Oryctolagus cuniculus: one gene and its partners. The protein of the gene in region 1 purifies or fractionates together with the protein of each later gene. This does not show direct contact. Links are inferred from orthologs where the notes say so. Each region holds a gene or a part of one and is shown in the gene's direction. Other genes may lie near its edges.

What was found. Proteins that work in one complex are often made in the same cells at the same time.
Region 2: the proteins of SLC6A15 (region 1) and GPAT3 purify together in Homo sapiens (co-immunoprecipitation; 3 studies listed by BioGRID and IntAct, counting the BioPlex papers as one, with this or other methods). This does not show direct contact. The link is inferred for Oryctolagus cuniculus from reciprocal best matches to the Homo sapiens genes SLC6A15 and GPAT3.
Region 3: the proteins of SLC6A15 (region 1) and GOLGA5 purify together in Homo sapiens (co-immunoprecipitation; 3 studies listed by BioGRID and IntAct, counting the BioPlex papers as one, with this or other methods). This does not show direct contact. The link is inferred for Oryctolagus cuniculus from reciprocal best matches to the Homo sapiens genes SLC6A15 and GOLGA5.

What each region holds. Positions count from the first base shown.
Region 1 is NC_091442.1:87,730,363-87,734,598, reverse strand, and holds the start of SLC6A15 (sodium-dependent neutral amino acid transporter B(0)AT2), read left to right. Parts: upstream 1-1,418; 5' UTR 1,419-1,845; intron 1,846-4,236.
Region 2 is NC_091439.1:78,655,774-78,659,419, forward strand, and holds part of GPAT3 (glycerol-3-phosphate acyltransferase 3), read left to right. Parts: intron 1-279; coding exon 280-408; intron 409-1,469; coding exon 1,470-1,549; intron 1,550-3,646. UniProt on the Homo sapiens protein: Converts glycerol-3-phosphate to 1-acyl-sn-glycerol-3-phosphate (lysophosphatidic acid or LPA) by incorporating an acyl moiety at the sn-1 position of the glycerol backbone.
Region 3 is NC_091451.1:37,907,831-37,911,476, forward strand, and holds part of GOLGA5 (golgin subfamily A member 5), read left to right. Parts: intron 1-414; coding exon 415-640; intron 641-1,450; coding exon 1,451-1,556; intron 1,557-2,813; coding exon 2,814-2,877; intron 2,878-3,646. UniProt on the Homo sapiens protein: Involved in maintaining Golgi structure. Stimulates the formation of Golgi stacks and ribbons. Involved in intra-Golgi retrograde transport.

The sequences.
Region 1 (4,236 bases):
GTAGTTTTCCTTGTGCACTTGGTCAAACCTCAGTGAAAAACTTAAGAGGGGAATACTTTTTGCATAGTTCTTCCTGGGATTGTGTGGAATCATTCCAGCAAGTGTGTGGATAACTTGGTTTCTTGAAGACAAATCTAACCCTGATGATGGAGGTCAAGGCTTTACCTATTTTCTTAAATCCCTCTCAGTTTATATAGGTGATAATTGTACTGCATTTTGATTTCAATATAAATTAAATGGTGTGAATCTACATAAGTATTTGCCTTCCACCAACAGGTGAAGTAAGAAGCAAATTATGTAAGATGTTCTCTAAGAGGTTTATTGTGACTTTTTACTTTTTGCTGTGGTTCATCTGTCAAAAAAGCATTCATTTCCCTTGGTAGGCGATGGCCAACCATGGAAGGAATACACTCTTATTTTTAATTCTTAATTTTTAAAAGGTAGAAATGGAAAAGAGGCTGAGTCAAAGCTCTCTTGGCTGCTTTAAAAACTAAGGATTAGCACCAATGTTCTGACCTGAAATTTAGGTCTTGTGATTTCTTTCCAGGAGATTTTTTTTTTTTTACTGCATGAAAAACCTGTCCGCTAAAGCCTTATTATTTAATTCAATCTTAATTGGATACAGACTCAAAATCTAAGAGATTGTTGGAAGGCCGCAAAGTGCACTGAGGTATTTTTTAATGGGATGACCAATCATCTGGAAGAAAAAGTCACTGAAATTTTCTTCTATATGCTGTAGGGCCATTGTATTTCTCCCAAATTTTTAAACTCTCAAAGAGAGAGACCTTCATCCCCACAGCACACGCTCAGGTTAGGAGCAGTTCAGCCATTTGCAGATAGAGGCTAGGCTTTGTGTTCCTGAGAGGTGTATTTGAGTTCTCCAGGTGGCTTAATTGTGAGCATGCCTCCACTGTCAGCAGAGGTGAGTCAGGCTTCATCTTACAAAGGGAGCCCTTGGGGAAGAGTGGGCGCTCAGAGAACAACCCAGGGTGGACGGCAGCTCCCTAAGCACACTTTCCTGGGCTAGGCAGAATCGCTGAGCACCATCGGGCCACCTCTTGATCAAGACGCAAATGTCCAAGATGCTTTTCTTTGGCAAGATATGTAAACGGCCAGCCTAGGGAATAAGCCAGGGAGACGAGTTCTTGGGTCACCCACTCTCTGAGAATACCCAGAGTCTTTGAGGTAGGACCACTCCTATTGTTACGCTGGTTCAGACAAAAGCAGGGAGGGGACCGGCAACTGGTGCCCATCCTTCGAGTGGTGTGGGCTGGAGGAAGGCAGGCTGGCAGGGAGACTTTGTTTTGTTCTGCTCTGCAGCGGGCTTCCTGGGTCCCACCCCGCACCCCGCGGGCCCAGCCCCAGGCGCAGGGAGGACGCGGAGGGCAGCCGCAGTGGCTTCTGCGTCAAGTGGCAGCAGGGCGGGGATGGGCGGCGCGCAGCCGGCGGACCCGCTCCCTGCCCTGCTGTGCGCCCCGCCGCCGCCGCCCGCAGCCTCCCCCTCCGCCCGCAGCGTGTCGGGCGGGCCGGGCACGTGGGTGCCTCCGTCACACCCTCACTCACACACACTGGCGCGCGCACGGCTCCGCGCCTGCCTCCCGCGCTGGTTCCCTAGCAGACGCACCGCGGCTCACGAGTCTCTCCCCAGCAAGCCCGCAGGGCAGCCACCCTCCCGAAACCCCGCTTCTCCGTTCCGCCCTGGGCCAGCGGCCGCTCCTCTCCACACAACTGCTTTGCGGCCTCCTTCAGATACCTGGACCCGACCCTTTGGCGGCGGCTGCTGCTGCTGTCGCTGCTGCCGGGACGTGGGAGCAGCGAGAGGCACTGGGTCACGGCACACTCACGGTAAGGACACTCTCCTTTGCTAGGGGGCTCGGTGAGGCTTGGGGTGCGGCTCGCTGTTAGCCGCCCCGGAGCCAGAGGGCTGGGGACCAGGAGCAGCATTGATGGATGGCTCCAGGGAAGGACTCAGCCTGGGTCCTCCCTGGGCTGGGAGGGGGGAGGCGGCTCCGAGGCCACGGGAGGGAGAGGCTGGGCTCTGTGGGCGACCCTCTGGGCTATGCGTCCTGCACCTGTGCACGATGGGGAGTGGGGAGGGTGCATAAGCACATGGGTCGAAACGTGCCGCCATCCTTCCTTCGTTCCCGCGGTGGAAAAGACCCACGGCGTCCCCGGAGACCTCCAGGTTTCCGAGTGAAAGAGGACGTGGAAGGGTGGGGTCTGAACTCCAGGAAGTCCAGGAGAAAAGTTGGGAGGGTCGGGGCGGAGAGAGGCGCTCCCGAGGTGCATCGGAAGGCGATGCACAAGCGGGTGGGCGGTGGGGCGGGGAGAGAAAGCCAGCCTCATCTCTCCATTCGCTTCTGCTAGCCTTGGCGACTGCGGAAGGCGAGGGTTTTCACGTGACCCCGGCTCCCTTTCGCTGGAGGCTCCCCGGGATGCGAGGAATGAACACCGGCCCTTCGCTGCGCGCAAGGCACGTGGCTGCCGGGGAACGCGCAGCTTGGGAGTTTCTGCGCATCCTGGAATTGGAGAACGGGGCGGTGAGGGCGGCGCTACTGGGATTTTTAAGGAGAGCATGGGGAAGGAATGGGAAACCCAGATCGTGTCTAGCTTCCATTCCCTTGTCTGGTCCGTGCGAATACAGGAAAGACGGGGGAAAATCCTTTCTCAGCCTGAACTTGCGCACTGGCTTTGGAAAGGTAAATGCATCACAACGCCTAGGCATCCCGGAGGCAGACGTGACCCACCGAGGGGCACCGGCCGAGGGGCGGGCAAGCCATCCCGTGGAGTAGAGCAGCGGCGTGTGCCGTGCGCTGCAGGGTCGCGGAGCTCCAGGCTCGCGCTCCCTAGCGTCTCCCTTTCCCTTTGCAGCCTCCTGCCTCGCAGGGAGCGGCTGGAGTAGAACGGGGCGGGGTCCCGACTCGGCGCGGTGACGTCAGCAGTGTTTGGGTGCTTATGCAAATGAGGCTGCGACTGTAGCCTCGGGTCCTGCGGTTTTCTCCCCGCGGCTCTTAAAGGTAGAGCCGGTGTTAGTCGCCGCGCACTACCCAAGCAGTGTGGGATGGATGGCAGGTTTGCTTCGTGGGCTGTGCGTGGCGCCTCCTCGTCCGTTTTCTACCTGTCAGTGCCCGTTGGCTCTTCTGGGATGCTGGAGGCCGAGTGTTTGCTCGGGAGGAATTGTTCTGTGCTCACCGCACCCAGTTTCATTGCTGAAGAACGCGGCTGAGATACAGACTTTGTCAGGGCTTGGTTTGCTGTAGGCACTTAATAAATACTTAGTGCTGGACTGAGTTTTCCTTAGAGACTATGTTTCTGTCATATTAAATTCGATGGATTTGAGCATCAGACGATTGTGTTGTTGTGTCGCTGCTCTCCTGTCCGCATGATAAGTGATCCATGCATATTTGTTGGAATAAAATATATTATTCCACCGAACTTGAAGTTGAAATTTACTATTTCTCTCCACGTGAAACCGTCAATGCGCTCTTCATTAGGCAAAACAGAAGTTAGCATACTTTTAAAGGGAGATTATCTCCTAAACGTTTGTTGACAGCTTTTCTTTTTCTAATTGTACATTGCAACTCGATTCAAGAATTACTAATATAGTTAACTCAAGATGTATTTTAATGAAATTAAGAAAGATATTTACACACGTTCTAGGGGATTAATACTTTGTCACCTAATACATAAGAAATACTAGAGAATTTCAGAATTGAATACCTTAGGTATTTGAGATCCCAAAAATCACATGAGATGCCTTGCTTGTCAGTTATTGAAAATTTAAAATGTCTAAAAATAGTTACTGAAACCTAAAATCCATGTTTATGATCGTTAACTTACTCAATGACCACAGTTCAAATTTTACTGAATGCACATTAGAAAACATACTTCTTCTATCAAAAAAAATGAAAATTGTGTATGAATACATAAATTTACATTCCTTTAAACCTTTAAACTCTTTGATTAGATCCAGACAATCAAAAAAGCATGACTTAGAGTGAGGGACCTGAAAGACTTGGGTGATTACCAAAACTCAAAAAACTTTTACTTCTCAATCTCTTTTGGACAGTATGTTAATTCTTTACTACTACATGTATGCATGGAAATATTGATACATTCCTATGCAGAGCAGGTTTGAAGTCCTTTCTGAGCAGATGACATTAGTAAAAATCTACAGCATTGTCTGATGCATGAAAAACACTCAAGGTTCCATGGCAGGGATTTTTAGATTTAAAT
Region 2 (3,646 bases), on another chromosome or scaffold:
GGGGCTCAAGTACTTGAACCATCTTCTGCTACTTTCTCAGGTACATTATCAGGGAGCTGGATCTAAAGTGGAGCAGCTGGGACTTGAACTTGTGCCCATGTGGGATGCTGGCATTGCCGGTGGTAGCCCAACCTGCTGTGCCACAATGCTGGTCCCAGTAACTTTTTTTGAGGTCTGATGGAAGTATTTGTGTCCAACCACCATAGCAGCACTGACATGGGTAAGAGAAGCAATGACTTAGTTTCTAACTGGATTGTATTTTCTTTTCTTTGTTCTCAGTATAACCCTCAGTTTGGAGATGCATTTTGGAATAGCAGTAAATACAATATGGTGAGCTACCTGCTTCGAATGATGACCAGCTGGGCCATCGTCTGCGACGTGTGGTACATGCCTCCCATGACCAGAGAGGTATTCCTTAGATAAAAGCTGCTCTCTGCTTTATCTAGTCAAATAACGGCTAGAAAACCCTTTTTTGTGAAAAAGAAAAAAGAAAAGAAAAATTTATTTATTTTGAAAGAGTTACAGAGCGAGAGGGAGAGACAGAAATCTTCCATCTACTGGTTCATTCCCTAGATGGCAACACCTGCCAGCATTGGGCCAAGCTGAATCCAGGAGCCGGGAGTTTCATCCGGGTCTCCCACGTGGGTGGCAGGCCCAAACACTTGAGCTATCTTCTGCTTTTCCCAGGCCATTAGCAAGGAGCTGGATCAGAAGTGGAGCAGCAGAGACCCGTATGGGATGCCACTATTGCAGGTGACGGCTTTGCCTGCTATGTCCCAGCTCCAGCCCTGGCTAGAAAACGTTTATCTGAAAACTAGGTGGCTCCTTTAGCACATCATGCCTTTCTGCTTTTTCAGCAGGTAAGTCACTTTTTAAGAACGTAACTAAGCAGTCTTCAAATCAGGCCATTTTGTGTTCAGATTCTTTTCCATAATAGCTTCATAATTGCTGTAGGCTTATAGAACCTGCAGACAGTGTAGAATCATTGAATAAAACTGATAAAGAGTTGGGGCCAGCACGGTGGTGTAGCAGATAAAGACCTCGCCTGTGATGCTGGTGTCCTGTATGGGCACCAGTTTGAGTCCCAGCTACTCCGCTCCTGATCCAGCTCTCTGTTAATGGCCTGGGAAAGCAATGCACACATGTAGGAGACCCAGAAGAAGCTTCTGGCCCAGTCAACTGGGGAATAAATCAACAGATGGAATCTCTCTCTCTCTTTCTCTCTTTCTCTCTGTAATTCTGACTTTCAAATAAATAAATTAATCTTAAAAAAAACTAATACATAATGAATATGTGCACATGATAAATACAACAGTGAGTTTGCCTGATAGAACAGATATTTGCTATGATTGAGCTAAATGTGAATTTATATCTTCAGACAAACATGAATGATGACAAGTGAATCTTAAGTTATTATTTATACACTGTACACCCAGGATGAACTTGTAATTCTTGTTGTTTTTGATTAGGAAGGAGAAGATGCAGTTCAGTTTGCGAATAGGGTGAAGTCTGCTATTGCTGTACAAGGAGGGCTGACTGAACTACCCTGGTAAGAGATTTTTCAGAAGTACTATCACTTGTTGTTGTTTTTTTAATGAAAAATTTCCCACCATTAACAATGTCATCTGTTTTGCTATGAATTTAGCTGAATGTGACAATGTTTTATAGGAAACAACAGTGGCTTAAATAAGAAAGAAATTCTGTCTCACCCAAGCATTGACAGTTCAGGCTGGTATAGGTGCTGTTTTGCTGTGCCATTAATTTCTACAGTGAAAACTGTTTCTGAAATTCATTATGCTAACTAACAAAGCCTGGGAAGTTGAGGGGGCCCCCCCGAAAGGCTTCTAAAGCCTTGTAGTGGCACCCCCTGGAGGGTGGCCTTCTGATTGGGTGCTGGCTGACTGTGTGGGAGGTCGGGGGTACTGTGTGAGTTCTTGACTTAGGACATCTGTCTAGCCCTAATGTATACAATAAGACTAACATTGGTAAGCTGGGATACATTAAATCAAATGACAAGCCACATAACATCCTAAAATTACAAGCTTCCCTTAGCCTGCAAATGTCCTATTGATTCATTTTCCTACATGTAACTGGTTTCTTCTACCTGGTTAATTTTTTTTAAAGATTTTATTTATTTATTTGAGAGAGACAGTTGCAGATAGAGAGAGAGAGAGACAGAAAGAAAAGTCTTCTATTCACTGGTTCATCCCCAAATGGCCACAATGGCCAGAGCTAGGTCAGGTTGAAGGCAGGAACCTGGAACTCCATCTGGGCCTCCCAGATGGGTAACAGTGGCTCAAGCACTTGGAACATCTGCTGCTGCTTTTGCAGGTGCGTTATCAGGGAGCTGGAATGGAAGTGGAGCAGCTGAGACTCAAACCCTTACTCATATGGAGTGTCAGTGTCACAGGCAGCAGCTTAACCTGCTATACCACAGCCCTAGCTCCTTAGTTTCCCTTTTTTTTTAAAAAAAAAAAAAAGGAAAATCATCCCACTGCTTTTCTAGATGTATGTGTCATCTACCTGTTGGACATGAATTAGCATGGCTAGAAAGATTTTTTTAAAAAAATGATGAATTAATTGTTTGATCGTAAAGTGGCTCTTATATCTAAGTTCCTTAAGATCTGCTGCCAGTGCAAAGGGGTGTTGGGTAAAATGTTGACATCTGTGGGGGTGGCAAGGCACAGTTGGGGTGTTTAGACCAGCAAGAGGTTTGCTGAGTCCTTGGGAAGAACTGTACACAACTGGTGTCAAGATGCTCAAAGACAAAAGCAAAACGAAAGCTTCTAGCTTACGGTGTTCGCCTGCTCTTGACCTGGACTCAGGAAATGAGAAAGGCCTTTCTTGTCTCGCCCTCCCTTCCTTCCTTAGTTCTCAGTGTTCAGGATTCATGTCTGCGCAATCCATAGCTTGAAGTATCTCATTTGGATAAAAGAGGCTGGCGTGGGTAATTCCTGGGACCTGATGACAATTTGTGATCTTGTTTCATGAACTCTTCCCACAGCTGAGTCCCTGGATAATTTGTATCTACAGTCTTTTTTTTTTTTTTTAAAGATTTATGTATTTATTTATTTGAAAGGCAGTGTGTGTGTGTGTGTGTGAGAGAGAGAGAGAGAGAGAGAGAGCGAGAGAGAGAGAGAGAAAATCTCCCATCCTCCACTGGTTCACTCTCCAAATGACCACAGTGGCCAGAGCTATGCCAATATGAAGTCAGGAGCCAGGATCTTCTTCTTCTGGGGGCCTCCCACGTGGGTGCAGGGGACCAAGCACTTGGGCCATCTTTTACTGCTTTCCCAGGTGCATTAGCAGGGAACTGGATTGGAAGTAGAGCAGCCAGGACTTGAATGGTGTCCATATGGGATGCCAACGCTGCTTTACCCACTATGCCACAGTTTTAGCCTCAGTCTTTTTTTTTTTTCCTTTTCTTTTTATTTCTTCTACTGAGGGTTGTGCTGGGTCTGACTGTAGAAGACAGAACATTGTGTTGATCTCAGGCAGGCATCTGTATTGAGGTCAGGTTCTGTCCTTAGGGCACTGAGTTCACTGTGATCATTCATCATCATCAGAAAGGACTTGGTAAAAATTCACGCTGAACTGGGTTAAAATTAAACAGTCACAGTATAAGGTAAGCGTTCTCCTAGGAGTT
Region 3 (3,646 bases), on another chromosome or scaffold:
CCCAAGTCCTTGGGCCCTGTGCCCACATGGGAGACCAGGAGAAGCACCTGGCTCTTGGCTTCGGATCAGCGTGGTACGCCGACCTCAGTGGCCATTGGAGGGTGAACCAACCGAAAAAAGGAAGACCATTCTTTCTGTCTCTCTCTCACTGTCCACTCTGCCTGTCCAAAAAAAAAAAAAAAAAAAAAAAAAATCCCGTTCTGTTCTGGTTTTAAAGCTGACTTCTGGCCCAGCAAATTGGTTTTGTGACTCACGGGTTCAGTCTGAACTCACTTCTGTGGACAGTGGACGAACCGTTACCGAGTTAGAGAAATCAGTGAATGCCACAGTGACCTGTGAGAGTGCAGTGATGTGATTTCCGTGTAGCACGGCTTCTCTCCTCTACAATAATCGGACGGACACTTGGCCTTGCAGCTCACCAATAAAGCCCTGAGCCACAGCAGCCAGTCCGAGTTGGAGAACCGCCTCCGCCAGCTCACGGAGACCCTGATCCAGAAGCAGACCATGCTGGAGAGCCTGAGCACCGAGAAGAACGCGCTGGTCTTCCAGCTGGAGCGCCTGGAGCAGCAGATGAGCGTGGCCCCGGGCAGCTCCAGCGGCGGCTCCTCCATCCACATGCCTGGCGTGGACAGCGGCGAAGGTAACGGACAGCACAGGGAACCTCAGCTGAGTGTCATCTGAACGGGACTGGGACAAACTACAGACAGAGGGTTTGTGCTTGAAAAGAAGATAAGTCTGGGCCGGCGCTGCGGCTCACTAGGCTAATCCTCCGCCTTGCAGCACCAGCACACCAGGTTCTAGTCTCGGTCGGGGCGCCGGATTCTGTCCCAGTTGCCCCTCTTCCAGGCCAGCTCTCTGCTGTGGCCCGGGAGTGCAGTGGAGGATGGCTCAAGTGCTTGGGCCCTGCACCCCATGGGAGACCAGGAGAAGCACCTGGCTCCTGCCTTCGGATCAGCGCGGTGCGCCGGCCACGGCGGCCATTGGAGGGTGAACCAACAGCAAAGGAAGACCTTTCTCTTTGTCTCTCTCTCTCACTGTCCACTCTGCCTGTCAAAAAAAAAAAAAAAAAAAAAAGATGAGTCTGGAACGTGCAGGGAGTCAGGGTGGGAGGCGCGCTTTGGGGGTCCCCACCTCGTGGAGGGCTCCGCTGCTGTCCAGTTAGGGCAATGGAAGGGCCGTTGACACTGACTCTTGACCAACACCTGGCATTTGTTCTCTCTTTCATTTTTGCTAAAATTGTTTTCTTAATTTTTAAGGTTTTATTTTTGTAGAAATAGAAGTTCAAACATTTTGTCTAACCAGAGTTACCTGGCTTCATCTTTGGGGCCAGTGCTTAGAAAGTCGGCCGTGAGAATTTCTTCCACTTGTGGCCGAGTGTATTTCCAGCCGTCACTTTTGTAGAAAGTTGACTTTGGTGTCAGTACATTCATTTATTTTCTTACTTAAACAGGCACACGTCTGCGAAATGTTCCTGTTCTTTTTAATGACACAGAGACTAACCTGGCAGGAATGTATGGAAAAGTTCGCAAAGCCGCCAGCTCCATCGACCAGTTTAGGTAAGCAGTGCCTGCCGGAGGAGTGGTGGTGGCTGCTGTTCTTACAGGTTTTCCCGTGGTTGCAGTGGTGTGAGCCCTGCAGCAGGTGTTGGTGTGTGGGGTGACATTCATCTTGCTCTGTGTATGATATGTCAGTGTCACGCGGTGGCTTCAGGAGCTCCGCGAGTGCCTGCGTTTGACTGAAGATGATTAACCGCGGCCATTTCTGTTCTTTCTGCAACAAACTCAGTAAATTTCATCGGGACAGCCTCCGCCTCCTGTGAGAGCGCTCCTGTGGGTGTTTTAGCCTAGCACTCTGCCACAGGGTTGGAATAACAGAGCCTCCGTGCTCATGCGTCACTGGACTCTTCTCCTTTTACTGTATCTTTTATAGATGCTACAGAAATAAACAGCTTACACGTTATCTACCTTTATATATACGTTTTTAAACTAGCAAAAATTTGCCTTATCAAGGTTATGTTCTAACAGTTTACCCATAGCCTTGATGAAGTTCGTGTTTTAAATAACCTACTCTACTAGTTGTTCTTTCTAGTGTTTAATTAAACACAGTTTGAATGAACTACCACATAATGGTGATCTTTTTTACTGGTGATCAGCACCTAGACTCGTACAGTCAGACCCCTGAGGCCTCGAGCCTGGGTTCCCAGAGCCACTGTCTCCGTGTTACTCACCTCTTAATGGATCATTTAGTTCAGCGTATGGCACGATTGTTGGAGAGCCTGTGTGTAGGACGTCGTGTCCGTGGCAGGGAAAGCAGCAGTAGAAAGGTGCATTTTCTTGTACAGTTATCCACCTCGGAAGGGCGTGGTCGGGGTCTGCCCGAGCTGCTGTTCCTCCAGGTGCTCACTCGAGCCTCCCCAAGTTTCTGCAGCTTCATAGCCACGTGGAAGCTTGCAGGTCAGCTGTCCGCACGTCAGCGCCGGCCAGGACTGTCCCTCCCGTTCACGTGTTTAACATCCACCCTATCCCTCACAACTTCTTCAGTTCCTGAAAGAAAAATGATTGAGAGAGGTGCCTTGTGGTTGTGGCCCGAGCATGAAGGGAAACACCTCGTGCTCAAGTTCTGAGCTCCACGGTGCCTCAGTCACGAGCCAAGGATTTGCCTACCACTCCGGCATTTCTACGCGGTTATTTGAAGTCACCATTTAACAGTATTCTAGAAAAATCGTTCTGGGGAGGCCACACAGATAGTGGGAGTGGGTGAACTTCCCGCAGTTGGAGGCTTCGTGTGGAGTGTAACCCTCCCTTCTCCCACAGCATCCGCCTGGGAATCTTCCTGCGGAGGTACCCCGTGGCCCGGGTGTTTGTCATCATCTACATGGTGAGTAAGCCTGTCGCGGAGGGCAGTGCTCGCTTGCTCGCTCGCTCGCTCCCGTGGCTGCCCTCGCCGCTATCTGGGCGACCCATTTTGAAAGATTAGAAGAACTCATGCTTTATCTTGAAGATGTTTTGTTCTTAAAGTAGGTAAATGAATAATTCGTGTGTCTAAATAGAAACAGAATAGGAACTTGTAGTCCTTTCCTACAAGTAAATCTAACTTCAGCGCAGTTCATTGTTCCCTCCGTTGCTAAGTCCTGCCCGTGATAAGCATACAGTACAGAACTGCTGGTTTCATTTTATCTTGATGTTGTCAAGTTGCTTTAAGTACTTCTAAAAGAATCTCAAAATTAGTTTATTTTTTGCTGATTCCTTCACTTATTAAGTAGTGTTGGTAGCTGGGGGTGCCAAGGAGAAGGGGTCCCCAGGAGCCCCCTCTCGTCCTGATTGGGTCTATCCAGAAAAGGTTGCGTTGACCTGAGATGGGCTGTTTTCTTAAAAAGAAAGAAAAACCTACTGAAAAGGAAATTTCTCGGTCATCCACTAGAGGGAAGAGTAGGCCTTTAAATAAGAAATTTTAAAGAAGGGAAGGATGGGAAGAATCAAACAAAAGGAATGGTGTCAGACAGGATTCAGAGATTCAGAATAGCGCCCCCTAGAGGCCGACAGCCCAGGTGTTGGAGATGCCGAGTGACACCAGAATGTGGTTGGCATGAACCATTTAGTGCTGCCCTGAGGGCGTTAGTGGAAATTCGGCATCCAGGGTCACAGAC